Linked DNA regions of Arabidopsis thaliana. The protein of the gene in region 3 interacts with the protein of the main gene of each other region in a pairwise test. Each region holds a gene or a part of one and is shown on either strand. Other genes may lie near its edges.

Evidence for each region.
Region 1: the proteins of AT1G09660 (region 3) and AT2G43370 interact in a two-hybrid assay, tested with the Arabidopsis thaliana proteins (one large-scale study listed by BioGRID).
Region 2: the proteins of AT1G09660 (region 3) and AT2G39100 interact in a two-hybrid assay, tested with the Arabidopsis thaliana proteins (one large-scale study listed by BioGRID).
Region 4: the proteins of AT1G09660 (region 3) and AT5G51110 interact in a two-hybrid assay, tested with the Arabidopsis thaliana proteins (one large-scale study listed by BioGRID).

The regions. Positions count from the first base shown.
Region 1 is NC_003071.7:18,009,636-18,017,047, reverse strand, and holds AT2G43370 (RNA-binding (RRM/RBD/RNP motifs) family protein), read right to left. Parts: upstream 3,781-7,412; 5' UTR 3,618-3,780; coding exon 3,470-3,617; intron 3,378-3,469; coding exon 3,280-3,377; intron 3,197-3,279; coding exon 3,145-3,196; intron 2,952-3,144; coding exon 2,881-2,951; intron 2,704-2,880; coding exon 2,613-2,703; intron 2,517-2,612; coding exon 2,441-2,516; intron 2,342-2,440; coding exon 2,263-2,341; intron 2,059-2,262; coding exon 1,672-2,058; 3' UTR 1,518-1,671; downstream 1-1,517. Other genes in the region: BIO2 (Radical SAM superfamily protein), read left to right, coding at 3,919-4,122, 4,445-4,624, 4,841-4,947, 5,226-5,431, 5,602-5,741, 5,831-6,130; GPX3 (glutathione peroxidase 3), read left to right, coding at 6,515-6,676, 7,048-7,124, 7,220-7,281, 7,371-7,412.
Region 2 is NC_003071.7:16,314,396-16,321,954, reverse strand, and holds AT2G39100 (RING/U-box superfamily protein), read right to left. Parts: upstream 4,600-7,559; 5' UTR 4,494-4,599; coding exon 4,123-4,493; intron 4,043-4,122; coding exon 3,905-4,042; intron 3,798-3,904; coding exon 3,743-3,797; intron 3,604-3,742; coding exon 3,347-3,603; intron 3,156-3,346; coding exon 3,086-3,155; 3' UTR 3,068-3,085; intron 2,961-3,067; 3' UTR 2,568-2,960; downstream 1-2,567. Other genes in the region: WTF9 (Ubiquitin carboxyl-terminal hydrolase family protein), read right to left, coding at 1-161; AT2G39110 (Protein kinase superfamily protein), read right to left, coding at 387-911, 989-1,111, 1,191-1,454, 1,550-1,926, 2,167-2,185; APC7 (tetratricopeptide repeat (TPR)-containing protein), read left to right, coding at 4,722-4,790, 4,901-4,969, 5,061-5,111, 5,389-5,523, 5,619-5,681, 6,123-6,232, 6,357-6,441, 6,577-6,636 and 4 more.
Region 3 is NC_003070.9:3,125,357-3,133,798, forward strand, and holds AT1G09660 (RNA-binding KH domain-containing protein), read right to left. Parts: upstream 5,739-8,442; 5' UTR 5,518-5,738; exon of another isoform or gene 5,444-5,517; 5' UTR 5,436-5,443; coding exon 5,305-5,435; intron 4,830-5,304; coding exon 4,744-4,829; intron 4,073-4,743; coding exon 3,948-4,072; intron 3,826-3,947; coding exon 3,688-3,825; intron 3,612-3,687; coding exon 3,495-3,611; intron 3,047-3,494; coding exon 2,903-3,046; coding exon of another isoform or gene 2,849-2,902; exon of another isoform or gene 2,832-2,848; coding exon 2,676-2,831; 3' UTR 2,406-2,675; downstream 1-2,405. Other genes in the region: AT1G09650 (F-box and associated interaction domains-containing protein), read left to right, coding at 622-1,770; AT1G09665 (Toll-Interleukin-Resistance (TIR) domain family protein), read left to right, coding at 7,739-8,199, 8,282-8,318.
Region 4 is NC_003076.8:20,775,760-20,783,068, forward strand, and holds AT5G51110 (Transcriptional coactivator/pterin dehydratase), read right to left. Parts: upstream 3,730-7,309; 5' UTR 3,622-3,729; coding exon 3,247-3,621; intron 2,923-3,246; coding exon 2,727-2,922; intron 2,649-2,726; coding exon 2,557-2,648; 3' UTR 2,245-2,556; coding exon of another isoform or gene 1,873-2,244; 3' UTR 1,742-1,872; downstream 1-1,741. Other genes in the region: AT5G51105 (ECA1 gametogenesis family protein (DUF1278)), read left to right, coding at 1,873-2,244; PABN1 (polyadenylate-binding protein 1), read left to right, coding at 4,001-4,156, 4,256-4,358, 4,438-4,560, 4,637-4,695, 4,940-5,131, 5,216-5,334, 5,437-5,482; AT5G51130 (S-adenosyl-L-methionine-dependent methyltransferases superfamily protein), read left to right, coding at 6,137-6,358, 6,455-6,569, 6,771-6,818, 6,943-7,201. UniProt on the Arabidopsis thaliana protein: Involved in tetrahydrobiopterin biosynthesis. Interacts with and acts downstream of the E3 ubiquitin-protein ligase SDIR1 in abscisic acid (ABA) and salt stress signaling.

The DNA.
Region 1 (7,412 bases), on a different chromosome or scaffold from region 3:
TAGACGGAAGCCTGTGCCTAATTATGTGGCAATTTGATAAAGAATGTTGGTCTATGAAAATTGGCTAACAAAAAAATATACGTAGATATACAAATATAAAGTTCGTAAAATGTGTAGTTTTTTTGTTATGAAATTTTTAAAAACAATATGAATTCTGAGAATAATGAATGATGTTTAATCTGTGATAATTGAATTTTGAGAGATTTTTTTGTTTTAATTGAATAACACAAAACTTTTACAAACTTTTAAAAATTATGATTGAATAACAACATATTTTACATGACACTTTTAAGTCACAAAAACTCTTTTAAAATCATAAACCAATAACATCCTCTAAGTTTAGAATTTTTAAAGGATTTTTAAAAGCATCCTTTTTTTAGTACAAAAAAATAAACATACCATTTATAATAGTTTTAAAAGAAAAAATGGGTACGAGTGCATGAATCATGCTTTTCTCCTCCACCCATTTGGACTAGGCATGAACCCAATCCTATGAATATGATTTTGGTGTGTGTTAATTTAATAGATATATTACAAAATTTAATTATAATTACATGAATAATGATAATGAATGTGGGGCATCATTGCATGAATAAGCCCTAACATCGGTGATATCGACCATCAACGCTGTAGAAAGTGGTACAAGGCTGGAGTCCGTTTTGTGATCTGTTCACTAATTATCCGTCCAGAAGACCTTGTAACTGTAATAGTCAACATGGCGTTTTTTGCAGCTGAGAATGCACTCATATGACTCAAAGATTCTATCTGTCAAATCCTGACATGTAAATGTCCTGCATCAGGCGTTGCCCCTCCTCATAAAGAATTTGCAGAGGATATATGCGAAAAGAATATGTCCTGCAATCTCTTTCTTGTGATCACAAATACCTGCAGCAAGAACAAAAAATTGAGGCCGGAAATTAAGAGATACACCATATTTTCTGATCAGCTAGGAAGATGGGATATCCCTGTTTCGGATAATTTGACTTTTATTCCACTTGCATGCAACGAGTACGAGAATGACATTGTCTCTAGTCAATCTGAGGCGACTCTCTATCCTCCTAATAGACAATTCATGAGAGGTACAAATACAATCAAATCAAAGTGAGTTTGAATAAACAAAACAAGAATCTGAAACCAAGTTTCAATTCTGTCTGTTGATACAACAACTATCTAGTATCTACACAGACAAACTAAATCTCTATTTCAACATCAAATGTGAGTTTTTATATTCGAACAAATTCAATACAAAACAAAATATAAGATAATAATAGTTCATTAGTTCTAAAAAAAGAAATATAAGATAAACTACAGAAACAAATCCAACTGTAATGTCATAGTTCATAAAAATAATAATATTTGATGAACTATTTTATCCATTTAGATAAATTACAAATTGCATCATCCCAAATTTTTTTATATCTTAACAATCAAATCTATACGGCCATAATTTAAGATATAAAGACAATTCACTCATGTTAATTGCAAAACAAATATCTTGTTTGTAACTAAAAAAAAAAGACAATTTCTGTTTTGCTATATTTGATTAACATACACTACACTTTTTTTTTCTTTGGTTCAAAAGGCACTCTTAAAAGTCTCTAACACCAAATATTATTAAAAAAAAATCTGTAACACCAAATATTATTGTTATTTTTTTTACAATATGATTACTTAGTCGGAAGAATGATGATCTTGACTATAGGACCTCCTATGATGATGGGAAGGCAAGTGTTTATGACGTTTGCGAGATCGGTCTTCTTCAGAACGTTTTGATCTTTTGCTGCCAGAAACTTCACCCTTGTTGTCACCATATCGATCTTCCATACCTCGTGCTCTCTCTTTTCTATCAGAACGGGACTCTTCCCTGGAACACTCCTCTCTGTCTTTGCTGCGTCTTCTATGAGAACTGTGTGTGTGTGCGCTCGACCTGTGACTGTGATATGACCTAAGGCTGCTTCGCTCTTTAAACTCTTCTTCCCGTTCTACAGAACTCTTTTCCCGATAATATTCTTCCTCTCTATCCGACACACTTCCTTTTCTCCTTGGAGGTGATGGGATCTGCATCCAACAAGTAAGTTGTGGTACCAAGATTTTAGTTTACAAACTATCAGCTTTCCACTAGACACATTGAACAACCCATTTAATATATTATTTCTAGCAGAAGAACATTAACAAATGACCCAATAAGATAGCACCAGAGACAGAACAGGGGTAAAGTTCAAATGACTATAGAGTGGTGGTGAAGTTCAAGACATGGTAGACCTGTGTGCGCGACATATATCTTCCCTCAGGCGGAAGCTGAATACCGAGCTTTTTCAAATCTTCATGAGGGATTGGTCGTCTGATATTAACAAATAGAAAGAATGCCCATTTCATGACCACTATGTTTAGCTGGTGTTATCTCTGGACATGCTAAAGGAAGAGTAAAGCAAAACCATACAAGGGAGCACGGAATGGTCTATCTCGTCCTCCAAAGCGAAGTTGTCCGGATTCTTTCCTACCACCAAGGCCACCTCCTGTTAAGAGAGAAATAGATTTCATCTGTAAGGGATGAAAATATAACGCCTATGACATTTCATTACAGACAAAAATAAAGGTAAAGAATGGCAAACCTAGTCTTCTTGGTATCCATCCAGGCATCAATTGCTGTCTATTATAATCAACAATAATCTCTCGCCCATCTATTAGTGAATGATGAGCATCCTGCTAAAGAAACACCAAAAAAATTCTCACTCTGATAAACAAACTCCACTAGTTTCCAGTAATTACACGGAGATGTTAATGAAACAATCACATTGCGGTGCCTTAGTAAGTGGTTCAGACAGCTTTCAACAACAAAAACAAGAGGTAAAAAGAAAATGCAATTTAGTATCACAGCACCTCATAAGCACGAAGCATCTCCTTTTCAGTCTCATACTCCACAAAACCATATCCTCGTGAAGCTCCCGTCACTAAAAAAAGGTAACAAGAAGAGGAGACTCAATACTACACAATGTGGAACTTAGAGGAAATATGTAATCACAGTTCTGCTTAGACAAATATCTTGGTAGAAAGTAACAAACCATCAGAAATAGAAAGATGATAAATTTCCTAAAGATAAAGCAAAGTGTTGATGTCATAAGTAGAGCAATTGCAAAATCTTACCAATGTGTCTTACCAAGCGCAAGTTCTTAATCCTGCCATACTTACTCATCACCTACGAAGAAGAAACTTTTATAATCATATTCAAAACATAGTCTACACGAAAATCAAAAACTAAGTGAAATTTCAATCATTAACCTCTCGAAGTGTATCCTCCGTAGTGTGATGAGAGAGACGACCCACGAAGAGAGTACAGTAAGGATCTCCAACAGCCTTCGAATCACCAGAAGGATCATCTTTCAAAACAACCCAAATCAATGTATTTGAATTCAGAAACCAAACGATAAAAGTGAAAAGAGGAGCAGAGAGAACGAGAGAGTATACATACATAAGCCAGCGTTATAACAGAGAAGAGCTCGACGGACGCCGTTATCATGTGGAGCAACATCAGTTCCGTCGATACTTCCGGCTTGAATCGGATGATACGACGTCGCGTAGAACACTTTGTTCACGACGTTGTTTCCTCCGCCGCTCATTTCTTCTCCCCCGACTCTCTCTCTCTCACGGCGGCTCCGGCTGTTTAAGGAAATAAAGAATAACGTCGTCGTTTGAATTGATTACTATTAAAAAGCCCAACATATAAATTGGGCTTATTACAGCCCAGTTAAAGATATATGATATTCTCGTAGGTCCCACACGAAGGCGGAAACTCCAACGGTGGCTGCTTTGGGTTAGGTGAATCACTCACTGAAGAGTGAAAAGCTCTAGCACAAACCAAACACCAAATCTCATTTCTTCTTCTTCTTCTTTTTCCACATTTTCTGATTAGCAGATCAAATGATGCTTGTTCGATCTGTATTTCGATCTCAGTTGCGACCCTCTGTCTCGGGTGGTCTGCAATCTGCTTCTTGCTATTCTTCATTATCTGCTGCTTCAGCTGAAGCTGAGAGGACTATCAGAGAAGGTCCCAGAAACGATTGGAGTAGAGATGAAATCAAGTCTGTTTATGATTCTCCTCTTCTTGACCTCCTCTTCCATGGAGTAATTTACCCTTCTTCTTCTCTCTCTCTCTCTCTCTCTCTCTCTCTCACTTACTCTTCTCTTTGTTGTTCTAGCTACTCTAAATCACAAATTTGAAGTAGAAAGCTTTGGGTTTCTGTTAAATTATTGGTGGAAAGTATCGATTTTTAGTTTAACCCAGAACATGTTTGTTCTCTTTGAAACATTTGTCTTAATTTCCCGGATTTTAGTGTCTTTGTAATGTCTATTGAGCTAGGTATTATTCATTTGGTTGCTCATCTGATCTCGTTATCAGTTGTCTTTTACTTGAATAACGATGGTGTGTGGACTCTTTGGGTTTCAGGCTCAGGTTCATAGACATGTTCATAACTTCAGGGAGGTACAACAATGTACCCTCCTCTCCATAAAGACTGGTGGCTGTAGTGAAGACTGTTCATATTGTCCTCAGTCTTCGAGATATAGCACTGGAGTTAAGGCACAAAGACTCATGTCTAAGGACGCTGTCATTGATGCTGCTAAGAAGGTTTGCACTTTTCTTGTGAATGTTTATTTTTGCTGAATGTAGAATCCTTAGCAGAATGTATCAAGAAGAAGGGGACATGCATTACTATGTACCAAAACGTTGTTTTTATCAATCCGAGCTCTATCTCTATCCAAAAGACTCTAATTGTTTAATGAAGCATTTTGACGATGTAATGAGCTCTTCTGATTTGAATTAACAAATTTGATGTGTTGTTAGGCAAAAGAAGCTGGGAGCACACGTTTTTGCATGGGTGCTGCTTGGCGAGATACAATTGGACGGAAAACCAACTTCAGCCAGATTCTTGAATACATCAAAGAAATAAGGTACCTTACTATTATGCTTTTTAAGTTGAACTTTGAATTTCCTTGTTTATACTACATTATATGATCCCTTTTTCAGCTGCTTCTGAATCTAAGCTAACTTAAAAGATAACCCACCGAACCGATCATTAATGGTTCTAGAATGAACATTTTTGCATGTCAAACTAAAGTGAAAATTTCAAAGTGTACTTGATGTATCCGTGAGCAGAATGAATATGATGTTGATGATGGTGTCTGGCTGAATGTGTTTACTAACTTTCTGGGCTCTCACTTTAAAACAGAGGCATGGGGATGGAAGTTTGCTGCACCTTAGGCATGATTGAGAAACAACAAGCACTAGAGCTAAAGAAGGCTGGCCTCACTGCTTATAACCACAATCTTGATACTTCAAGAGAGTACTACCCAAACGTCATCACTACTAGAAGTTATGACGATCGCCTTGAAACTCTTAGCCATGTTCGTGATGCTGGAATCAACGTTTGTTCAGGTAACTTTGATATGAAAATAGTATTCTTGTATGCCTCAATTCTATAGAACTAAAGGATTGAAACCTGTCTTCAGCTTGGTCATTAGACTCACAGTTTTGTAATATTCGTTGATTTTGATAAATCCATAGATACGACATGTTCTCAAGTGTTTTCTTTTACCGATAAACAGGAGGAATCATAGGGCTTGGTGAGGCAGAGGAAGACAGAATAGGTTTATTACACACGCTGGCAACACTTCCTTCTCACCCTGAGAGTGTTCCCATTAATGCTCTACTTGCAGTGAAAGGCACTCCTCTTGAAGACCAGAAGGTATATCTCCACAATCTAAAATCACAAATTGCAAGTCATAGCAGCTACTTAGTAGGAAATGGCTTTGAGAACCGTTTGTGTTTTTGCAGCCAGTTGAGATATGGGAGATGATCAGGATGATTGGAACCGCACGTATTGTAATGCCAAAAGCGATGGTGAGACTGTCTGCTGGTAGAGTCCGGTTCTCAATGTCCGAACAAGCTCTCTGTTTCCTTGCTGGTGCAAACTCTATCTTCACCGGAGAGAAGCTTTTAACCACACCAAACAATGATTTTGACGCTGACCAGCTCATGTTCAAGACATTAGGCCTCATTCCTAAACCGCCAAGTTTCTCTGAAGATGATTCTGAATCAGAAAACTGCGAGAAAGTTGCTTCCGCTTCTCACTAATATCATTATCCACTTTTTTTTTTTGTTTGGAGTCGGGACACTATAGAGCAGTCCCTTTTACTATGTAGCATGGTTTGACGATTTTGTGATATCATTTTTCGTTAATCGTTATTCGAAGATGTCTAGATTTCTCATCTGAAAGTAAACTTATTATTCTAGAGTGTCATGAAAATTGAAGAGAAAAGTTGCAATTAAATCTCTCAAGGCTGAGATGGGCTTTAAATTAGGCGTAAACTTATCAACTAGATTTTGGCCCATGTTAAGCCCATTAAAGCTTCAAACACTATCCAAGTCAACAAGCTTGTTCTGTTCTGTTCTGACTTCTGAGATCGTCTTGTTCACCAAAGAGAAGAAGACTAACTGTGTTTTTTTTTTCTTTCCTCGATGCCTAGATCAAGCAGATGGGTCAATCAGCGAGCTACCTCTAAGATTAAAAAATTTATACTCTTTTTGGGTGTAGCCTTTGTCTTCTACCTCTACAGATACCCTTCTTCGCCATCGACGGTGGAACAATCATCCACTTCCATCTACAACATTTCCGTTAAGGTATAATCAGCTTAAACTAGGAACTTTAGAAGCCAATTTTTCACACTCTAGGTTGATCCGCGTCTATATTTAGTCCTGATTCTGAAGAATCATTCTAATTGCTGATGTTTATTTATGAAAATTTTATGTTTTAATGCGAATTTAGCTAAGATAATGAATCTAGACGAGTGCCTTTATTTTAAGGACTAGTTACTAATGCAACTGTTTAGTGTTAGATGGGGAAATGACTTTGTTTTGTGTGTCTGTGTGTGTTTTAAGTGAATCTTTCAATGACTATATGCCCCTTAAGTTCATCTTTATAGTAACGAGTTCTACTAGTTTATTTATCATAACTCATAACTCCGTATCAATTTCTCAAATTGAAAATGTAGGATATTGAAGGGAAAGATGTGAGTTTGAGCAAGTTTACCGGGAAAGTGCTTCTTATAGTCAATGTAGCCTCTAAGTGGTATGTTACTAAGTACTTAATTGTTCTTACTTATTGCATATAATGTCACATTACATTGGCGTTATATATAAAATCTTGTTGTGATGAATGAGCAGTGGTCTAACACATGGAAACTACAAAGAAATGAACATTCTGTATGCCAAGTACAAAACTCAGGGTGTGTCTCTTTATCTCGCTGTGCCTTTCTCAGGTTATTAACAAGTTGAAATTTTTTATAAGTATTAAAGGAAGTATCGTTTCACGCAGGGTTTGAGATCTTAGCATTTCCTTGCAACCAATTTGGTAGTC
Region 2 (7,559 bases), on a different chromosome or scaffold from region 3:
GAGACGACGGATTTGAGCTGAGATGATCGGAGGATGTGTTCGATGTTGTCGAAATAAGGATCTCTCTTCCATTTCATGTAAACGTCGACGTAGGTTCGTTTCTGAGTAAGGTTGGTGCAGGAGGAAGCTACGGTTTTGGCATGGCGGCGAATAGAGAGCATTGTGGAACTAATCGGAAAACCCTAAAACCCCAATTAACGGGAACATAGAAATCGGACTATCGGAGAAGACAGTTGCAATGTTTACTTTAAGATGTAAACGACACGGCGTTTATTGTGGGCAAAACTGCGGGCCGTTTTATTTATAGAAACGACAAGTGATTATAATGGCAATTAATATTGGCATAACACAAGCAGTGTGATTATCAGTTTGTTCTCTCAAAAAAATCAAATAGAAGTAACAAGTTTATGAGACCAAGTAGGTAAATTGGGACAACCATTTTCTCCAATTAACAGTTCAACAAATCTTCTCTTAACTCTCTCCCTTCTTGAGGCTTCGAATGCATCTTTAGGTGTCAAGCTTTTCATCAATGGCAGTCCTGAAGGAGCACCATCTGATGATGTTTCCACTATCCTTTCTAACATCTCTGAAACCTGACTCATTGTTGGCCTTGCTTTCGCTTTTACCATCAAACACCGGTTAGCAACTGCAGCTAGCTTTAATGCTGACTTGAGGTAGTAGTTTCCTTCAAGTCTTGGGTCGATGATCATTTTGAACTTCTTTATGTCGGATAAGTGTGGTCTGATCCACTCCAAGATGTTCTGCTCGTTTCTTGGGCGGTTACGGTCAAAAGGTCGTCTTCCTGTGATGAGTTCATATAAAAAGATTCCGTAGCTCCACACGTCGCTCTTAGCCGTGAGGTGTCCTGTTTGGATGTATTCCGGTGCTGCATAACCAATGGTCCCTACAACCTGTAGATTCATAGTTTGGTAAGACTTCAATTGTTTCAAACAATCAATGGAGACATAACAAGTAAGGCGTAGCGTACCGCGGTGGAAACGTGAGTGATTCCATCTGAAGGACCCATTCGAGCCAGTCCGAAATCCGAGAGTTTTGCATTCCAGTTCTCATCAAGAAGGATATTAGAGGATTTGAAATCCCTAAAGATGATCTGCATATAAGATGAGTATAGTTTCAAGAACATATGAAAAAGGTTTAAAGGCATTTGTGATCATGGATGGAGAAGATACCTGAAACTCCATGCCTTGATGAAGATAAGCGAGTCCTCTAGCAGTGTCTTGAGCAATCTTCAGTCTGGTGGACCAAGGAAGAGGAGTGACTATAAAACGATTGGATAAATGGTCTTGAACACTTCTGTTTTGTACGTATTCGTAAACAAGTAGCCGTTGGATCCCTCTCTCATCATCCTCAGCGCAATAACCGATCAGCTTCACCAGATTCGGATGCTCCACTACTCCCAATACATTTACCTCTGTCACCCATTCTTTATGCCCCTGTTAATGCATACGTAGTTGTTTTTATTGTTGGGTACTGAAGGAGGTTGTGTAAAACAGAAGCAAACTAAAGAGAGAGAAAAAGATTTGCTTGCCTGTAGACCTCTTCTACTAAGTTGTTTAACTGCAATATCAATCTTTTTACGAGAATCTTGAGGGTTCTGAATCACGCCACGAAAGACACCACCAAAGCCACCTTCACCGATCATCAAGGAGCGGCTGAAGTTCTTGGTAGCGGTTTTAAGGTCATCGAGGACAAATACTTTGAGATTATTACTGTGTGTCTCTGAGAGGACGTGCAAGGAAGAAGTAATGGAAGTAGCAGTACTTGTATCTGAATTAAACTCAGACCCTGATCCTCCTCTAGCCATCGTAGCTGAACCAAACTTTCTAGTCTTAGCTTCATCATCCTGAGTTTTGTCTTTGCTGAAGTAGAAACATTTCATTGCCTTAGATGAAACCAGCCTCTTCACTATCCAAACCAGGTCCACATTCCAAGTCAACACAAACAGAAACACGATCAGAGATGAATTAACAGAGATAATCACCAATCATTCAATCCATACCAGATATCAAGTTATCAACACAAAAATCATCACATTTCAACTAGATTCCCTGACATTTGGAAGAATGTAGAACAAAAATCGATATACAACACAAAAGTAGAAATGTGGTAAGAGTGTTGAGAATCAGAAAGGGAAAGAGAAGAAACCTGATGTAGAATTATTCATGAGGATGAATGGAATGCTGTGATGGGGGTCTTCATGATCATGATTGAGAGAGCTTTAAAGCAAAAGAAAATGGTAGAGAAAGAGATAAGAGGAGAAGAGAGAAGACGAGCTCACCATGATCGAATGGGGGAAGTCAAATAGGCAATGGCAGCTGGATTGCCGCTTACCAACCTATAGAAGAAGCCTTTTATAATATTTTATTTTGTGTTACACCCGCTTGCTTACTTATATCAATCAATACCTTAATAGAGAACGCGTTGTTTATTAAAAAAATTTCCCCGTGTATATTCACCATTTAATCTTTAAGGTACGGTTTAGAAGAGAAATTCAAATGAACTTTCCTCTTCTATGGAAGCTTCGTGTAATTTATCTAAAACTATGTATAGTTTTAATTTATTAAAAATTGATAGTCAAATTATAGAAAATATTTAATGTTGTTGAAATAGGTGGTACTCGAAACGTAAGAAAAAATGATGAGGTGAGGAAAAGCGTTGGAAAGAAACTTTGGGGGTGAGAATTTTTGGTATAGAAGAGACGTACATTATGGAAGTAGAGAGACTAAGTGTCAGCTATTTGAGAATCCACCTATAGCTATCTCAAAACTAACTCCACACCTAAACTTGCATCATCTCAACATCTTCCTCCTACCTACTCTTTAACTCTTGGTTTCTCTTACTTGGTCCAGTCTTTCCACTATTGAACTTCCAAGACACCAACAGTCGCGTTGTAAGTCTGTCTATTTACTTCATTTGACGAGAGCATAGTGCTCGGTTATCTGCAAGCGAATACAACATAATGACTTCAGAAAAAAAACCATCGAAGCAAAACAGGTTCCTACTTAGTGAAACCAAACCCACATAATACATATCCTAATTTCTTTACCTGTTTTTTTTACTGCTATTACTCCACCTCATTGTATTCAACCACTGCATCATAAGTCTCCATCGTGAGTATACTCTCCGCAAAACATCTGAAAAATGTTTTCTTTCTCATCAGAAATAGTATATGACCAAAAAACCTAAACCAAACAGATATCAGCTCTATCATCTGTTCAGACTTACAAGTCACTAGGTTTAGGTTGCCTATGTGTTTTCTGTACTACTATACTAAACCTGTAACTACTTGAAACTCTGAAAAAACCCTAGCGTATAAAAATCTTACCTTAGTTCATGCCAAAATATATCCACCTTATCAGACAAGAATTTTCGAAGAGAGGAGACTTCATCTTCCACCAACATCCCGGTCTGCCCGGTTTGTCGATTATTCTCTCTCTCAAGCCTTTTGATGAAAAGAGCTGACGCAAAATGAACAATAACTGAGGGATCAGGATCTCCAAGGACTGCCTGAAGCTCTCTTCTAATCCATGGCTCAATTCTTTCAGTTATCTTTGCTTTGGTGTAATCATTCACCGCCAAACTCTACAATAATCCAAGATGACACAACGAAGCAGGTATATATAAGGCTTCCAATGTGAACATATATCCAATAATGTAAGAGTGTAAACCCCAATACTACAAACATCAAACAGAGAAGAACACATTGTATAATGAAACTTACTAGTTCCAAGCGCCTTGAATGTAATCGAACAGCTCGTAATTGCTTAGTGTATATGCTGTATTTAGAGCCAACACTAGTTAGAAACAACGGCGAACTAATCTAACACTTCGAAAAAGGAGATTGCAAATGAAGCTATAGAGTTAGAATCAATAGTAAACCAACCTAGCTCGCCACTGAAGCTTTCGCTGGAAGATAACAGAATCAGGAACTGAACCTGGTCGTCCAAATGATCTCCGCCATGGCAATGGCCTTGATCTTGAGCTAGAGTTTTCCAAAACATCCCTCGACCTTTGAATTATCCTAATGAAATAATAACCAAGTGAATATAATAAAGAAGTGATTTTTAACTTCATAGAGAGGATCTTAGAGAGAGAGATAACCTCCGGCGATCGGAAGGATTATTCCGATGATAAGTTAAAGTCTCACGATCACGAAGAATTGGTAATTGCTCCTTATGGTATTTTCTAGAAGCAAAATCACTAACGATAAACCAGGAATCAAAACGAGTGTTACAAAGAGGACAATTCCTCTTGAAGCTGCTCCACTTCCGAATACAAGCAAGGCAGTATCCGTGCTTGCACACCGTGATCACGGCGGCGGATCTTCGCTCGGTTAGATTTTCGAGGCATATCGGACACGATTTCCCCTGTAAAGCAGGAAATATTGCTCTCCCTGCAAATTTCGCGATACTTTCCGGCGATCGAAGATGTCTCGAAGACGAAGGCGCCGTGGAGGACGGTAATGGAGGCATGACCGGAGATAGAGATTGTTCGGTGAAGTCGGGCTCTTGGAAAAGTCGGGTTTTAATGAACCGAGATGGATTTCAGATAGATAACCGGTTAATGTCGGTTTGGGTTGACTCGGTTCGAGATTTCTTGTTTCAAAATGAAGAGCGAGCGTGAAGGATCTTTTACTTCATCGCTGCTCCGAAGAAAAAACTTCACCATTGCCACTAACGACGAACTCTCTTGTCTCTGAAATGGAGGTTCCAAAGGAGCAGATCGCGACTTTAATAGAGCATGGGCTTTACGATTCTGCTGAAATGCTCGTAACTTCTCTAGCTTTTAGCTCATTTTGATTGTCTATCTCTTTTTTTCTAAATCCCTAGTTTTCATCAAGAGCTAATGAAATTCTCTCTATATATGCAACTAAATCCAGGGCTGCTTTCTCGTTTCTTCTCCTACTGTTAGTGCCGAAACTAGTCCTCAGCTCAAGGCGGAGAATTTGGTTAAGCTTCTTTCTCCGTCGATATTTTCTATTTTAGTAGCTGCTGAGTCCGTTAGATTGAAGTTAGATTCTTTCTGTGTTTTTTAATCAGATTCTACTGGGTGATGCTTTATTTCATCAGAGAGAACACCGGAGAGCTATTGTAAGTTCTCAAAAGTTTCATTCTTTATGTTTCTCTTTTGCTGTGAAGGAAATGTTACTCAGTTCTCGATAGTTTAGTTCTGCCTCAAATTTGAACTCTATAAATCATTCTCGGAACTTGAATTTGACTGGATTATGATAAAATTGTAAAGATTCTGATTATATGAATTTATGGAGTGAGCAGAGATAAGTTTTATATTTGTATTGCTTATTCTTTTCCTGTGGATTACTTTGAAGTCATCTCGAAATTCTGAATATGTATTCCTTCTTTTTGTCAGCATACGTACAAGCAAGCGTTGCATCATTACACAAGGATTCCGAAGCAAAGCTCCGGTATTTCGAGGAGTTCATTATCTTTATCTACCAGATCATCTGTGAATGCCTCCAGCATTTCTGCTATTAATGAGAACGAGGTAAATAACTGTGTTGCAGTTTCCAGAAAGTGATGTGGTTTGGTTTAATTTCATTGGAGTTCATGTGCATCTTCTTTTTCTAACTTTCCTTTTAGGTGAGATTCAAGATTGCTTCATCTCACTTTGCTCTTAATGAAACAAAAGCTGCGATTGCTGAGGTATGAGTGTCATCTGTTTGTCTGGTTTTCAAGATTTATTTAGTCTTCTGGATTTGTTGGTCTAGAAACTTTGGTATATAGAAAATAAAATATGTGTGTATGAGACGGTAAAAGAGCTGTCTAGGGATTTCTCTATTTCTAAGATTATAGATTGGTTTTGTATAGGATGACTTTTATGTCTTGCTATTGTATTTTATAACCAGAGTTAAGTAACTGTAATTTCAGTGAAACATTCTTGGGCCGTAACTAATGCATTGTTATAGTATTCCTGAATGTGAGTTGAATTTTGTTGCGTTGACCTGCTCCCATCAATGCAAATCCATATTACAAAACAAGTAAACTAATTGGATTCCTTCCAACACTGCATGTAGGTATTAGGGATGATAAAGCCATGGTCTGCTTAGCTATAATCTATTTTTGCACTTGTTATTTCTTTGCCAGATGGAATCTGTCAAGACCAGGAGCTTAGAGATGAATATACTGATGGCAAAGCTTCATCGAAATTCTGGATACAACCGTGGTGCTATTGCTTTTTATAAAGAGTGTTTAAGGTCTGTTTTTCGTTTTCTTTCCCAACATTTCCTAGCATAGAAACACTGTTATAATATCTCACTTTTTACGTTAAATACCAATTCAACACATAGTAAACATATATATAATCTTTAATCTCTGCAGGCAGTGTCCTTATGTACTTGAAGCCGTCATAGGTTTAGCTGAACTGGGAGTTAGTGCAAAGGATATCATATCATCGTTTACTCAGGTGTCCCTTTCTACGAGATTTCTTTCACCACTTCTTCAAATGTGTTTTGCACCTCTTTCTCTCTATTTTGCAATTACCTTTTCTGTGTGAAATCCATACAACTTTGTAATTTGTTGTGTCATTTGTTCATTTCAGACTTCAAATAGAAGTGCAAAGGTTTCACTCGATCAGATAGATCCTACCCGCTGGTTGCAAGTAAGCTTACTCTTTAACAGGATTTACAACGTTGAAAATTGTTTGAAAGTACACTCATTAATCATGCCGCCAAGCTGATTATTGTACGTGAGTTAGAATCTTATTTTATCAACTATTTTCCCCCGAATACGACTTCATATATAATGATTCTAAGAATTCTGTCTTCAAGCTGTTCATGTGTGGAAAGTGAATAAATCGTCTTAATAGTATTATTCCCTTTAACAAAGTAGTGCTTTGATGTTCTTGTGTTAGTAGAAGCTCGACTATTTAACCAGGAAACTAATACTCCACATAACTTTTCTTGGATGGATGTTTCATTGGTTTCATGTTGTAGCATACCTGGCAATAAAATCTATTTTCTTCTTTGTCTTTTTCGGTAATTTTTCTTTGTTTTCACAGCGTTATGTAGAGGCCCAGTGTTGTGTTGCTTCGCATGCTTACAAAGGTAGCTCTCTTTTCTTTTTGGGATGCCTATGCCTACAATGGATGAAATAAGGCATTTAGTTCTTTTTTTTTAACCTTGTAGATTTCATTTCTTGCATTTTATTTGTGGGAAATTCTGCAATCTGATGCTTGCTTTACTGGATATGGTGTAATATTTTTTTGTTACTCAGGGGCGCTGGAACTCTTTGCTGAACTCTTACAACGATTTCCAAATAATGTACACTTGTTGACTGAGACAGCAAAGGTTAGGGATGACATCGACTACGATGCAAACAGAATTTCACCTGAATTTTTCATTTTATCATGACTGACGCTGATTGACATTTATTTCATTTGTATAGGTTGAAGCCATTATTGGGAAAAATGATGAGGCCATAATGAGATTTGAGAAGGTAGTCACCACATGGATATTTTTTTCTCAATTCTCAACTTCTTTAATTCATGCATAATCATCTAAAAGCTTTTATAGGTTCGGTCAA
Region 3 (8,442 bases):
TCAAACAATCTAGCCTAAACCAAGAGAGAACTAAGGATTACAGAGGAACGGCCACCGAATAAATCCAACAAAAATACAAAAGAAATTGAAACTGGGAAGATATATATTCATCTACATACCTGTTCGAGTTCATTTTCGTCAAAAACGGTCAATTGCAAGAAGGGTTGGTACGGTTCTTGGCTCCTTTCTTCTTCTCAGCTTTCTCATCAAGCGGATACTTTGCTTTATCATGCTCCGGCAACAGTAGAAGATCCTCTATGTTTATGTTTCCATACTCATCAAGCGGTTTATGTTTCCATGTTTTTAATCTTTTTACCATGGATTCATATGCATATGTTTCAAATTCTATGTTTGTAACCTAAACTATTTTTCATTAACTATGAAATATTTACAATTTAGAAAAAAAAAATGTTAAGTAGATAATAGGATTAGGAGATCTGTGCCGCGCGCGTGAGAGGAAGATCCTTTTTCCTTGATCTGATGAAAAGGAAGTGTTGAGTTTTGAGAAACGGAAAGTGTTGAGTTTTGTCTTTTCTATAGAAGATTTTTGTTTTCCTGTTTTATCTATAAATAAGCCTCTTAAATCTCTTCATCAACAATGACTTGTCTGCAATTACAAGAATGTCGAAAAAGCAACGTTGCTTGATGATGGAATCGCTGCCCCACGAGGTCGTAGAGTGCATCCTAGAGAGACTTGATGCGGATCCTCTGCTGAGATTCAAGGCTGTATCGAAACAATGGAAATCAACTATTGAATCTCCATTCTTCCAGCGAAGACAGTTCACACAGCGTCAGCAATCAGGTAATCCAGATGTTCTCATGGTCTCCCGTTGTGCTGATATTAATTCGGAAATAGAAGCTCTTACTACATTGGTGTTGGGTTCATCATCATCTGTCAAGATCCCTACTCCTTGGGAGGAGGAGGAGGAGGAGGACAAAGAATACTCTGTTTCCCAGGATAGCTGTGACGGTCTCGTTTGTCTCTTCGATAAATTCAAATCCGGTTTTGTGTTCAATCCCGCCACTAGATGGTATCACCCTCTTCCTCTCTGCCAATTACAACAACTCCTTATTGCCATAGGCGACGGTTTCTACGATCTTGGATACAGAGTCTCTAGGCTTGGATTCGGTAAAGACAAACTCACAGGCACATACAAGCCCGTTTGGTTATACAACTCTATAGAAATTGGCCTAGAAAACGCTACTACATGCGAGGTTTTCGACTTTAGCACCAACGCTTGGAGGTATGTTTCACCAGCTGCTCCTTATAGGATTGTTGGTTGCCCCGCACCTGTCTGCGTAGATGGGTCGCTTCATTGGTTCACCGAGTGCGAGGAAACCAAAATTCTTTCGTTCGATCTTCACACCGAAACCTTTCAAGTTGTCTCTAAAGCTCCCTTTGCCAATGTAGATGGATTCGATATAGTCATGTGCAACCTCGACAACCGCTTGTGCGTTTCCGAGATGAAGCTGCCCAACCAAGTGATATGGTCATTCAATTCAGGTAACAAGACATGGCACAAAATGTGTTCCATTAATCTGGATATAACTTCTCGTTGGTTTGGTCCTACTCAAGTATGCGCCGTCTTGCCACTAGCACTTTTGGATGGGAAGAAGAAGAAGAAGAAAAAGTTGTTGTTTTATTGTCGTGTACGAAAACGAACAATGGTGGTACATGATGACGAAACCAAATCATATGATGTTGCTTTCGAGGCTGACTCCATCGGTCATCCTGTCTGTTATTTCCCGAGTTTAATATCTATTTCATAAAGCTTCTTTCACCATCCGTTTGTTTGTCCAAGTTTGCAACTCTTAAAGCTGCCTATGATTATGTTTCAGATTCTTGTTTTATGTAAGAAGGGCTTGTTTCAACATGTACCAACAATTTTTGTCGTGCTTTTTTATGCGCTTGTTATGCTTCTAATTTATCTCACACAGTCGGATGATGTCGTTTTTCCTTGCATACTTTCAGTGACCACAATATGCTCTAGAATCTTTAAGGCACCTTATAGGTTTCTCAACGATAGCCCAAACTAGGATCTTGTTGCTATAAACTCCCCGAAAACAAAGTCTTAAATCTATGTATCTATTCAAATTCTGAAGAAATGTTAAAGAAATTGAAACAAGGTAACGAATCTCTCCGAAACCACCAATCAAATAACTCAAACAACTATCTGAAGCTTCCAATGACTTTGTTCTGTAATTCAATTGAAATAATCTCCTTTTACATGGCATCAGAATCAGAGCCATAATCAATAAATAATTGAGAAGGAGATTACATTTTCATAAGCACCATTATTAGTTTATTACACACTGGTCAATGGTGAATCTCTTTGTTGTCTAATAGTTTCCGACATTTGAATCTGAACCTTAAATCTCAAAACAAACTGATAATGAATGGTAGATAGACAAATGGAGAAATTTCAAAACTTAAAATGAAATAAACGTTTGGGGTTTAAAACTTAAATAAAGGTTACAATGATTGAGAAGGAGATTACAATTTCATAAACACCATTATTAGTTTATTACCCACTGGTTAATGGTCATCTCAGCTAACCAACAAAAATAAAGAATAAAGTTAATGACAAAATAAATTAATTCAAGAGTCCAAACGTTAGAACTTAGCAAACTCATGATCCTGCCCACAAGACCCATGCACTAGTGGTTTCTCTTGATCATATCTCTGTCTTAGCACGCTTGCTGTTGAAAGGGGACATGCTGGGGCTCAAACAAGGGCTCAAGCTCGGACTCGGACTCTCCTCCCTTAGTGTACCATTCAAAGCCGCTAACTCCTTCAGCTGTTCCCTCTTGTAGTGATCCATTGACTCGTCCTGTAGAGAGAGAAGAATCAAAACCATGTGAACAAAATAGACATGTTTGGACTTTTGTGATAAGAATGTACCATCGGCTTCAGGAGTGATTCCAGGAAATGCACTGCATGCTCCAATCGAGAGTTTATTATGTCTTCTGGAAGCTCGGCCTCGATCAGTACATGTAGTGGCTCGCAGAGATGCTCGTACCCTGGCTTACCTTTTAATTTTTCCTCCTGCAGGGAAGTAAAGAACTAAATGGATAAGCTTTCACACCGCATGGTAGATTGTCAGAGAATATATAAGAGTCAGAAAAAAATGAATTTCAAAACTTTCTCTATTTACTTCTGATGATGTAAGAACCTAAAACTTTAACAGTTTATTTCTTATACAGGCTGCCAAAATTTACATATCTTCAAATGTAAACAAGAGTAGTAGCTGCTGATGCAGTAAAAAATGTATCATTACTTCAACAATAAGCTTGATATGCTAAAAGACGTAAGCTTATACACAAAAGGAAAACAAATTGCTCCTAAAGGCCGGAAGAAAATTGTGCGTATTCAAAACATGGTTATAAAACTGATTAACAGGTAAAAACATGACATAAAGTGAAGTTTTGAACTGTAAGAATAAAACAGAGACAAAATGGAATCCTTCAGAGAATTAATAAACAAGGAGCCATACCTTGACAGTATCCTTCACAGATCCTCGTCCTCTGATAAACACCCTGCAGTGGGTTGCTAGCTCAACTCTTTTTAGGGAGTTTCCACGTGGCCCAAGAATCCTCCCAACAAAATTATACTGCAACGCTCAATGGATTTAAACTCTAGAACAATCCAATTATAATAACCTATTTGGGTAAAGATTTAAGACATACGCTTGGATATTTATCCACTGGGACATCAAGTCTAATCACTTTTTTCACAATGGGTGGGTTAGGGAGTCCCGGCATCCCAATCCAGCCCACTGGGGAAGGACCGCGAAATGGAGAAGCTCTCTGGAGGTGACAGTTTTCCTGAAGAAAGCAAAAGCAATCAATATCGGTAAAGCCCACTCTTGATTATAAAAATTATTAGTATCACCATTACAATTCAACATGAATCAGTTAATTGACTACAACTATCAGCAGTGGCTTACCTCGGCTTGCATCATCGACCATCCCTCTAAATCAAGCTTTCCATTTGTCGGCTGACCAAGCGATCTAAATGGACTGCCATGCTCATATCTATCAAGATCAGGAAAACTAGAGACCCTCCTGATTTCTGCACAGACGTCAGCAATGTTGGCAGTTAAGCAAACGTATAAAAGAAACTGTAAGAGTTATACATCAGGGGCATCTTCAGTCTCTTATCTTTAATGCCAATAATGAAACAAAAGGCTCGGGTTCTAATAGGTTAGAATGATGAAAACTTCAAACACATCTTTGTCTTTTAAGGTTCACACATCCCTTAAGGGCATGATGGACAACTAAAAGCTAGGTAAACAAGTCTGGAAACAAGCTTCTAATCACCATATGCATATTTACGGACAAATAGGCTTCCTAGTATAAATTAGTTGGTGATCATTTGCTTAACGATCATTATCATTTGCAAACACATAGACTTAATTCATTTTCACATAACATAACTCATCAAGGATGATCATTTAGCAATAAGTTGCAATTAAAAACTGTTTCTAAATGCTAAAAGTAACATAGACTTTGATTGGCTATATATATATTAAGAAGGCCATAACAAAGAGAATAAAAAGTTGCATGTAGATACATTTTTGTTACTCAACTATCCTTACCCAATTTCTGTAAACCTTTAACTGGAAAAAAGCCAGGGTGATGCGCACTAAGGCTTTGTTCACGTGGGAAATTTCTTAAGTTCGTGTGCACACACTCTAAGGAAATACTAAATTCAAAATCACATAGCTTAATAAGATAGCTCACCATGATTAAGCAGTCTGCAGCAATTTGGCATAACTTGCAAAAAGGGACCCAACTTTTGTCTCTCTTGCAATAATTCAGTCAAGTACCTGCACAAGGTTAAGAACAAAAAAAACTTAAGTTTCAGTGGATGTTGCGTGTGAATCGAGTGGGTGACATTGGAATCAGCACTCAGTCACATGTAAACTAAGCTTCTAAAAATACATCAGTACGTTCATTTCTAAAACATTGATAAAATATAGCTATCTTGTTAAAATCCTTAAGAGTACATTGTATAGAATCCAATAATAAGTGAGCTAATTGTGAAAAAGGCGACATGTTGAGGTGAGAGAGTATGATCGAGAATTTGGATCTGTGTAAGCAGTTCATGAAAATACAAACTTGACAGAATCATTTTTAAACACTGATCCAATCAAAGGCAACAATACCCACCAATCACAAAGAGACACACTTGAAGTTGTGCTAAAGCAACAAGTCCAGAAGAAGAAACGGGTCCACAACAATCAAGCTAACACAGATTCACAAATAGCAAAAAGGTTGAGAAAGAAGAGAGAAAATAGAAACCTTTCACGATCAGAGGGAGGACAAGGGGATCGATTAGGAGAAGCACGGAATCCAGAAAGAGGATACTGGAAGAAACTTCCAGGAGAGATCCTCTCTTCCATGGCCACGAAACCAGCGCCAGATTCCATCATCTTTAACACTGTAAATCCACTTAGAAAGTCAGATTGTGCATAAAGTAGAGATAAAGAAAAACAGAGAAAAACAAGTTGTGACCGGAGATAGTGAAGAGGAGAAGCGGCGGAGGATCTGACGCCGATCTCAAGGATGAGAAAGGTGTCTTGAAGTAGGTGTGGACTGTGTAGAGTGGCCACAGAGGAAGAAGAAGAAGTAGGCAAAGTAGGGAGGGAGTCAAAAGCCCTACTCACGATGAGAGACTCCTCCTCTCTCTCTCATCTCATTTTCGATATTTTCTATTTTTGTGTTTAGTTTTTTATTCTCTAGAGATTCTGTCATCTTCTTCTTAAAAGGTTCTTTGCGTTTTCATTATTATTGGGCTTCAGGTCACTAATAATGGGCCTACCTTCCCTCAGGGACATTGTAGCCTACTTCCAATCCGTGTAAACTAAAAAAATGAAGATGATGGATTCGAGCCCTTCCGAGGCAATATAACTATTCTTTAATGGGCTTAATTTTTTTTGTTTTGCTTTAGACAACAAAACACATTGGGCCGGGCCTGGTCTACCTAGTACCTTTCTTATGCATCTAATTCATTTGATCCTCAACATGCCAAATATTTATTATTTTATTTATCTCTACGAACTCTTGAAAGGTCATCATCATTCACTTGATTGCATTTGCCTATATTTTTAGTGGGAACGTAGTTAGTGATGTCCCCTGAGCGATGATGTCACCTCAGTGATGTAATGGATGATTTATTTTACTTAAAAATTCTAAAAAGTAAAAACAATGGACGAAAACAAGAATTCCGTCTATAGTGAATCAGTTAGAATATCTGAACGGTGATTTCCATGTTCCACTACTTTAATTTATTTTCTATAAATTATAATTACATTTTACACCAAACGCAGTTTACACACATACTGTATATGATAGATGCAGTCACATATACACTAAGGAAGCTAGTTACTCAAGCCGTGATTTATATACAACTTGGAAGCAAAGAAATAAGATGCTGCATAATTCACAACACATTTGCGCCTACTTCTATCTTCAAGATCCTTGATCGTCTTCCTTGTTTGTATCCTAAATCTTAGCTATTGTTCATGTAAATCATAATTTTCATTAATAGGATATTTACCTATTACTTAGCAACAAAAAAAAACGGCCGGGTTAAATGGTGTAGTTGGAAGTTGGCTACTATAAGAAATGGAAAAAATAATAAAACGCAACTTAATGAAGATTCTGCCGTTTTGCCAATGAGAAATAAAGAAGAAACAGCATAAATCTTTGTTCCCCTTTTTAATTCTTTATCCTAGGGTTCCCTTCTTTCTATGCTTTCTGTTTGTTAGCTGTTCTACACATGTATACTTTTAATTTGCAGCCAACATGAAACTTCTCCTTTGTCAGCACTCAGCCTTACGGAACAACATGTAACCCTAAACAAAATTCTACATGACCTAGGGGATTTGAAACATCCCAAGAAATTTCAGTATATTAGGTAAATGGTATTATTCTACTAGAATATATGTAGTATTTACTTTATCAAATGTATACATAAAAAGGTTTTCATTAACAATCACAGCCCAAAAAAAAAAAAAAAAAAAAAAATCCATTTCTTGGGATGTTTCAAATCCCCTAGGTCATGTAGAGTTTTGTTTAGGGGTACATGTTGTTCCGTAAGGCTGAGTGCTGACAAAGGAGAAGTTTCATGTTTGCTGCAAATTAAAAGTATACATGTTGTAGTACAACTACCAAAAAGAAAGACCTAAAACCAAAGAAGAAAACGGATAGAAGTTCGACATTGGGGAAAAATGTGGGTAGTAGCTAGTAGGTGGTGGTGAGAACAACAATGAGGATCCAGAGACAAGAAAAAACCAAGAAAAAAAGAAAAGTGAGGTCTGCTTCTGCTTTCTCTCTCCGCGCACGTGCGCCAAAAACGCTTTTCTACGATCTTGTATTAACTGTTTGGGATTGTGACTTTTCTTCCTCCTCTGTCCAATTTTTGGAATAATCAAATTCTGGGTCCGCCACTGCATTTACGCATGTTAACTCAAGAAAGTTAATGACAAAGTTCCTAACGACGCCTTCCCTCCAGTAATATCGATAAACCTAACATTAACAATGTACCTAAACCCTCCCAAATCCCAATATCATATACTATAAATTAAGCTCTTGCTAAACATCTTAGTAACCATTGTTCCATATTACATTACAAAACTTGTCTTCTGTCCAAACAAAATTGTATAAGAGTGGAACAAAGTCTAACCAACTTCTCTTCATTGCTCACGCTCACAACTAAAGGAAATTAAACAACATGAAAAGGAGTAGTAGTAATAGGAAGATCCAAGTGTTCATCAATTTCCGGGGAGAGGAGCTACGCTGCAGCTTTGTGAGCCACCTCGTTGACGCTTTTAAAAGACATGGAATCAACTTCTTCATAGACAAAGACGAACAAAAAGGGAAAGACCTCAAACATCTCTTTGCAAGGATCAAGCAATCGAGGATGGCTCTCACCATATTTTCCAAAAGATACGCAGAGTCAAGCTGGTGCCTGGACGAGCTTGCAAGGATCAAGAAAAGAGCCGATAAATGCAAGCTACGAGTGGTTCCTATCTTCTTTAAAGTGAAGGCAGAGTCTGTTAGATATCAAAAGGCTGAGTTTGGTCGCAACTTCTGGAGGTTGGCTAAGACTTCGAGTGGAGAACAAATCAAGAAATGGAAGGAAGCTTTAGAGTCTGTTTCTGACAAGGTGGGCTTAACGTTAGGCGACAAAAGGTACCTTAGCTTACTCATCATCCCTAATCTAATATTGCGACATTTTTCAGTTGTCGGTTTCCCTTTTGGTTGTCGTTAACAGAACAAACAAATGGGTCCAGATGTACATAAATGGCTAAAGATGTAAGAGTTGAAAACGATGACTTGGCTTATTTCTTTGTAGTCGTTAACAAAATATGATTTCTTCACTGATTCAATAACTTTCACCTTTGTAATAAATAACACTTCATTCTGTGAAACTAT
Region 4 (7,309 bases), on a different chromosome or scaffold from region 3:
AAATACTAATTTCAATTGAATTATATTTGTTTTTGTTCCTGTAAAAATAAGTGTAGTTCAAAAATAAAAGATTAAAATTATAATAATTGTGTGTTTAAATGACATTGAGTGAATGAAAAAAATTAATACATGATATTTATGATTTCAGTTATAATTTGGTATTAAAGTGTGGATTTATATATATGATTAATTATGTTGTATATGTGGTTTAAATACAAATTATATGGTTTGATGCTTTTAAACAATGTGCTTAGAGTCAGATCTTGGTGGAGGAGTCAGATCTTACACGACTTCAGTTTTTATTGTTTTAATTTTTGTCAAATCGAAAATCAAAATAAAAAATTGTTTCTTGCTATTTTCTGTTGTTTGATTTCATTCATAAATCGAAAGCAAAATATAAATTATTTGGTTTAATTTTACGATTTTTAATTTCGTTTTTAAACAAAAATCCATATAAAACAAAATGATGATTTCAATTTGGCTAGACCAGACATCTAGTGTTGCAATTTGAGAGGATGATTTCAAGAACTCAAAGCAAAATGATGCATTGACATCTTTGTTTGTTCATATGACGTTGATTTCACTTTCTGTAACCTTTGTATTGAATCTTGCAATTGCATATGATGAGACAACGGAAATAAGTGAAACTAGAACCAATACAAAGTTGTTTAACGTATGAAACCATTTCTAGTTTATTCTAAAATCCAAATGTTTGAGAACATATGTGAGATTCATATAGGGTCAAACATATCTTCAAATTTAAATGGTAACAAATTTTATCTAATTATTGCCGTAAATTTTATACTATTTACTTTTATTAAAATGGTAAATTTATATATTAAAAATCTTTTATGAGTGTTTAAAAATTAGTTTTAAGAAAATAAGATAAATAGTATTTGCAATTAAAAATGTTTGGTAATAATGATATATAGTAGAATTAAAGAAAAAAATACTTGAGAAAAATTGTGGGATTATATCCTAAACACTAAAGACTCTCTTATGTATAGAGGAGAATGATTTTTTTTAAATCAAATTATAGGAAAAAACTATGATTGTGTTGAATAGATAGACACTATATAGTATACTGCATGAAATTTATAGGATAAAAATATGGGCTATATAATTTAATGTTTTAATTTTAAAAGTTAAGTTTTTAGTAATTTGGGAAATAGTAAATTTAAATTTGATTAAATTAATTTATTTGATAAATAAGAAATCTTTCTATAAGCTAAATATTTAGAAATCCGAAAATATTATTTTTGGATGGTGTATTTAATATTAAAATATGTTTGGTTTAAAAAATAATAAGGATAAGGATAAGGATAGTGGAATTAATAGTGTTTGACAATGAGTATATTATATTCAATAAATGAAAAATAAAAATGATGAGAACAATTATGGGCTTGCCACATCTTTTACTATATAGAGGATTCCAAAAAGTTGGAAGAAAAACAATTCCTAAATTGAAAAGATTTTTTTCTTTTTCTTGCTATGAATGTAAATAAAATCTCAAAAAAAAAATTAGGAGATGATATATATCAAGATGAATAAAGACGAAAGAGACTTAAAATTTGTTACTGCTTCCCTTCTGTCATCTTTGTATTATTTCCTATCATATTGTTAGGAAAGATTTATTTCTTTACATATGAGAAATATGACAGCATCAAATTCAATGTGCATCAAACGTTTTGACTATTTTTGATTTTCTTCCAAAATTAAAACGACAAATTTGATTTTGAAAGCAACTTTTAAAAATACGTTTCGCCAAACTAATTACAGTATAAATTGGATCTCATAGCCAATAACTTTATCTCATCAAACAAAACTCAAGTCATCTATTTCTCTTGTTGCATAGTCCCCCAAATATTCATCATGTCGATCAAGAGTGTTGTTTCTCTCCTAGTAGTTGTATGCATCGCAGCCTCCGTTAATGCTCAGCTACCGCAGTTTCCCCCAATCATGTTCCCGTTTCCAAATCCGTTCAAACCAAGTCCCGGTATGGCAGGAAGTCCCGACTTGAGCAAATGTTGGTCAACAGTGATGGATTTGCCGGGATGCTTTGAAGAGATTCAACAAGCCGTAATGTCCGGCAAATTTGAAGGCGTTGGTCCTGCTTGTTGTAAAGCTTTCCTTGACGCTGAAGCTAACTGCTTACCAAATCTTCCATCCAACCCGTTTTTCCCTCCTATGATGAAACACCAATGCTCCAAAATGGCTAGTCCTCCAACCACCACCGCCTATTAGAATGCAAAAATGTAGTTGTGTTTTTTCGAATTTTTTGTTAGTCCCAGAATGTTCTAGAAGAAGAAATGATAATAATAATGTCTTAATCTAATAATAATGTCTCATTTCTTATATTGTGCTCCATATGATTGATGTTCTTTCTTCTTTTGATTGATGAATGAATCTCAAAGACATGTTGCGTGATATCTCTTATGCGGTTATGACAATGCTTTCTATATAACTCGACATGTAGACCGATCACACACAATTTAGAATACATCACATACATTACATACTATCAAACAAAAATGTTCCAAAATAATGAAAAGAAGATCACGCCCAAGCTCTTTTCCTAGGGGAAAGATCAGAAGTCTTGATATCATCTATTTTAGCCGCCATTATGAAATCATTCATGCTCAACCCTCCTGCATTATTCATCCAACAAACCGTCTTAAGAAACCATATATTAAAACTCAAACTCGAACATCAAATATTTGACATACCGATAGAAGAGGTAAATAGTTCAGCTCGAACTTGGGTAGGACTTTCCAAGTGAAGAGAAGGGTAATGACCAGAAGCTTCAGCAACCTTATGGATCCTGTTTATGAGTTCAACACCGCACCCAAAATCCCTCACTTTCCACATACACCTTATTTTCAGACCACCCGCTTCATTATCCACTATACTCCATCCCAAAACCTAAAACGTTTACATAATAATCATTGAGATTGATGTACCACATCATTAGAGTGGTAACCGTGAACCAAAACACCAACATGAGCCTTATCAACACTAATCATTTCATTTTTTTTTAATCTCGTAACCATTGTTCCTAATATGTCCCTCATGATACTAAAATTTTCATTGGCTTTTCTATATTTTTGGGTCACAATTCTATCTTTATAGATTAGAAATCTGTTAAACGCAGAATCAATAACATTTTCACAATATTTTGATCAACCAACAAACTTGTAAAATCAAAACTCGAACATTTTTATACTAAGAGAGAAATAGTATAAGTACCTTGTGGAGGAGAGTTCTGGCATCATCGCCGGACAAAGGAGGCTGTGAAGACGAAACAGGGGAACACTGAAGCTGGGAGAGAGACAAAACAGATGCGTTTGGTATCAAAATCTTGTGCTCAGTGCTTTGGCATCCCAACACTTTATCTCCGAATTGACTCGCTATCTCCTCCGGGTAAGGGTCACGAGCTCCGAAGTCACCAAGAAAATCCTGCGCCAGATTAGACCGGGTCACCGTTAACCGGCCGAGTTTACGGTTATTCCTACTTACAGGTGGTAATAAACCGAACACTTTAAGGATTGAGCGAGAAGGTTGACGGAGGAGGAGGGAGGACGCGGAGATGTTACACGGCGGTGATGATGACGTGGCGGCCATCGGGAGCTGTGATTTGCTCTGTACCGAAGATAAGAGTTTTGGTTTTTAGAGAGCGAAACGATTTTCAGACCACTGGACTGAGTTAAATGGGTGAGGTGCCACGTAATCACTAATGACTAATGGGAACCACAATAAACTTTCGTGGGACCGACTTTACACGTCACGTTTTAATCTGAGAAGCCCATTGGGTTTGATTGTACTTTTGTGTCCACTTTTGGTGAATCTACTTAAGATTTCATAATTCCGAAAGTATCCTTTTTGGGTATCTTTAATTACAAACAAACCTTCCCTTCTTTCCCGATTTCAAGCCCTAAAATTCCGAGACTTCTGTTTCTCGCTTTAACGACAGTCGCCGAGTGAGAGATATAGAGAGAGAAAGATGCCGGTGCACGATGAGCAAGAGCATGAGGTGTACGGTGGAGAGATCCCAGAAGAGGAAGAAGGTGAGATGGATACGGAAGAGTACGAAGAACACGGCGGAGAAGAAGGTGCCGCCGCCGGAGATGAGGAGCTTGAACCTGGCTCTAGCTCTAGGGTATTGTGATTCTTCGATCTATAATTTACTTTTATCCAATTGAGACTCTTCTTATTTTTTACTGTATTTAGTCTGTTATTTGCTTTGATTGTTTGATAGGACTTGGAGGATATGAAGAAACGAATTAAGGAGATTGAGGAAGAAGCTGGAGCTTTGCGTGAAATGCAAGCCAAGGCTGAGAAAGATATGGGTGCTAGTCAAGGTTTGTACTTATTAACTGATACGTAAAATCTTGAATCTTTGTGCGCAGCTTCACATTAACCTTTAAATTGATAGATTAGGTTTAAAGCTTGTCTTGTTGATTATGATATTGCTTTGGGTTTACATATTGGAATCTTTTAGTGAATCAATGAATCTGTCTAGAAATTTACTGGAGTTTGAGTATGAGAAGGAAATCATTAATAGTATTGTGGAGTCTTGTCAGTTAGCTAATTGGGTCAATACCTTTTATGTTGTTGCATATCAATGAAGACCCTTCAGGTGGTGTTAGTGCGGCTGAGAAGGAAGAAGTGGATTCGCGTTCAATATATGTTGGCAATGTGAGGCTTGTTCCACCATTAATTTTCACATGTTTCTCATATATGTTTGTATCTTTTTTAAAGAAAGTTTGTGTGTTTTATTGCTTTGGTATCAATGAAATTTGGAGGCTGCTTGTTGTTTATTTCTTTATCTCTAGTAATTGCTAAACTAACTTTCCTTCATATTTCAGAAAGCCTTCATATCTCCCATCTGTGAAGCTGATTCTTTAGATATCCTGTGTCTTTGTTTTTTTGTGTATATTAGGTGGACTATGCATGTACTCCAGAGGAAGTCCAGCAGCATTTTCAATCATGTGGGACAGTGAATAGGGTTACAATTCTGACAGATAAGTTTGGTCAACCTAAAGGTTTTGCGTATGTCGAATTTGTGGAAGTAGAAGCTGTTCAGAATTCGCTTATTTTGAACGAGTCAGAACTACATGGTCGTCAGATAAAGGTGCAAACTCGTTCAATACGATGTAGTTAATTATTTTCCATATTACGATTTGTCATTACTAAACTTTGTTTAATCTATTTTCAGGTATCTGCAAAGAGGACTAATGTACCTGGAATGAGGCAATTTCGAGGAAGAGGGCGTCCCTTTAGACCGATGAGGGGATTCATGCCAGGAGTTCCATTTTATCCTCCATATGCTTATGGGTGTGTTCTAGAACCTTACCTGCCTATCCTCTCTTTTAAAGTCCATTTGTTTGATTCATCATGGTTGTTCATAAAATTGACAATGGTTGATGGTTTGTGCAGGAGAGTTCCCAGGTTCAGACGGCCTATGCGCTACAGACCGTACTGATTAGGCAAATTGGTGTTAAAAAAGTAGCAGCTGCTTCTCCGTTTTCGGGAAAGCTTATCATCATCAACACGGTTCATCGGACGCTGCAGTTGTTTCGATTAACAGAGATGAGTTGAAGAATTGTATGGCAGAAGAGAGAGGGGAATTATATTCTAGATTTTCTGTACAATATTTGATGACAAGTGCAACATTTTGATGAGTTCCTTTGTTTTTATTATCTTCAAACACGAGTCACGATTTCACAATAACTCGCAAGCTTCCATTGTTCTAGATTTGATGCATATTGACCAAAAAAAAACAAAAGTTAATTCTCTAAGATTAATTTGGCCACGTCGGTGAAAGAAAAGGAAACTTTCGTATATTTACATAAATAGGTTTAAAGAATGTATTAACTAAAAAAGAGAGGATTACTTAAATATGAGACTCGTTAAACCCTTTTGGACTTTCAAAGGCGGTTCGGTTCTTCTTCTTCTTCTTCCTCCTCGCTCTGCGCCGCTTAACCTCGAAGAAAAACCTCTCTAGGAGCTAGCTTCGTCGAATCTCTCTGTTTAGACTTAATCGTTTTGTTTCGATTCTAAGAATCTAGCTGATAGCGATAACATAGAAGAAACCCTAACTTCGCGAGCTTTGTTCATCAACGCGTGTGAGAAAAAAATGGGTCGGGACAACGATCAGAAGAAGAATAAGAAGAAGAGAAACAGAAGTAATGAGAATGAGAAGAGTGTTGAGAAAGTAGTTGCTAATGAAGAGAAAGTCCCAACACAGCAGAAGCAGAAGCAACAACAAGGACAACAAGGAAATTGTAATCAAAGCAAGAAGAAGAAGAATCAAGAAGTTTATCCCTTCGGAAATTACAGAAACTACTATGGCTACCGAGTGAGTTTCGTAGTATATTTTCAAATTCCTTCATAGTCTGCTCATCTTTTGGTTTAGTATCTGATTTTGGATTCGTTTGGCAACATAATGTGTTAGATAAGCAATGACACGGATGAGGATCCTCGGCTTAAAGTGTTGAAGAAGGAATGGTTTGAAGGCAAAGACTGTCTTGACATTGGCTGCAACAGCGGCATCATGACTATTCATATTGGTATCTTCTTCTTATCAATATCATAATTTGTTCCTATCTATGTCCATCCATTATAGTAATAGATATGTTGTTGTAGCTATACCTGTCCTTATGAGAATGCTATAGTAAAGTGTGATTGAACTTCCATTGTGTCTGAAATCTCTCTGGCAGCATCCATAATTTTATATAGTCGTTAGCTGATATTGTTTTGCTCTTCTTCAGCAAAAAAGTTCGGTTGCCGGAGCATTCTTGGAGTTGACATTGATACAAGTAAGACTATAATTGGTTGTCATAATATCTTCCAAGTTTTGCTTTGTGTAGGAACTGAATTATACTCTTAACTACATTATCATTCAAGTCTGCACTAAATGAACTATGTTTTCTTTGATTGAAGGTCGCATTGAGGATGCTCACTGGCATCTTAGGAAGTTTGTCAGAATGCAGAATTCTACTAAGCCTAGTGAAAAGAAATCTAGTTCTGAGGGTGCCGATGGAGTACATGGATCGAAGGAGCCATCTGTTTCTCTCTCCAATGGCGAGGCAAAGGCAGATAGTGCAGAAACTAAAGACTTGTCTCAGATTGTGTCGTTTCAGAAAGAGAATTTTGTTCAAACCCGAAATCTTGACGACAATCGTTATGATACAATTCTATGGTAAACCCCTTTCCTTTTGTCACTTGTACTTTTGGTTTCTGCCATTTGGGAGGAATAAAAACAAATGAACAGTCACCATTTCTTTTGGTAATGCTCATACCTAAAAGT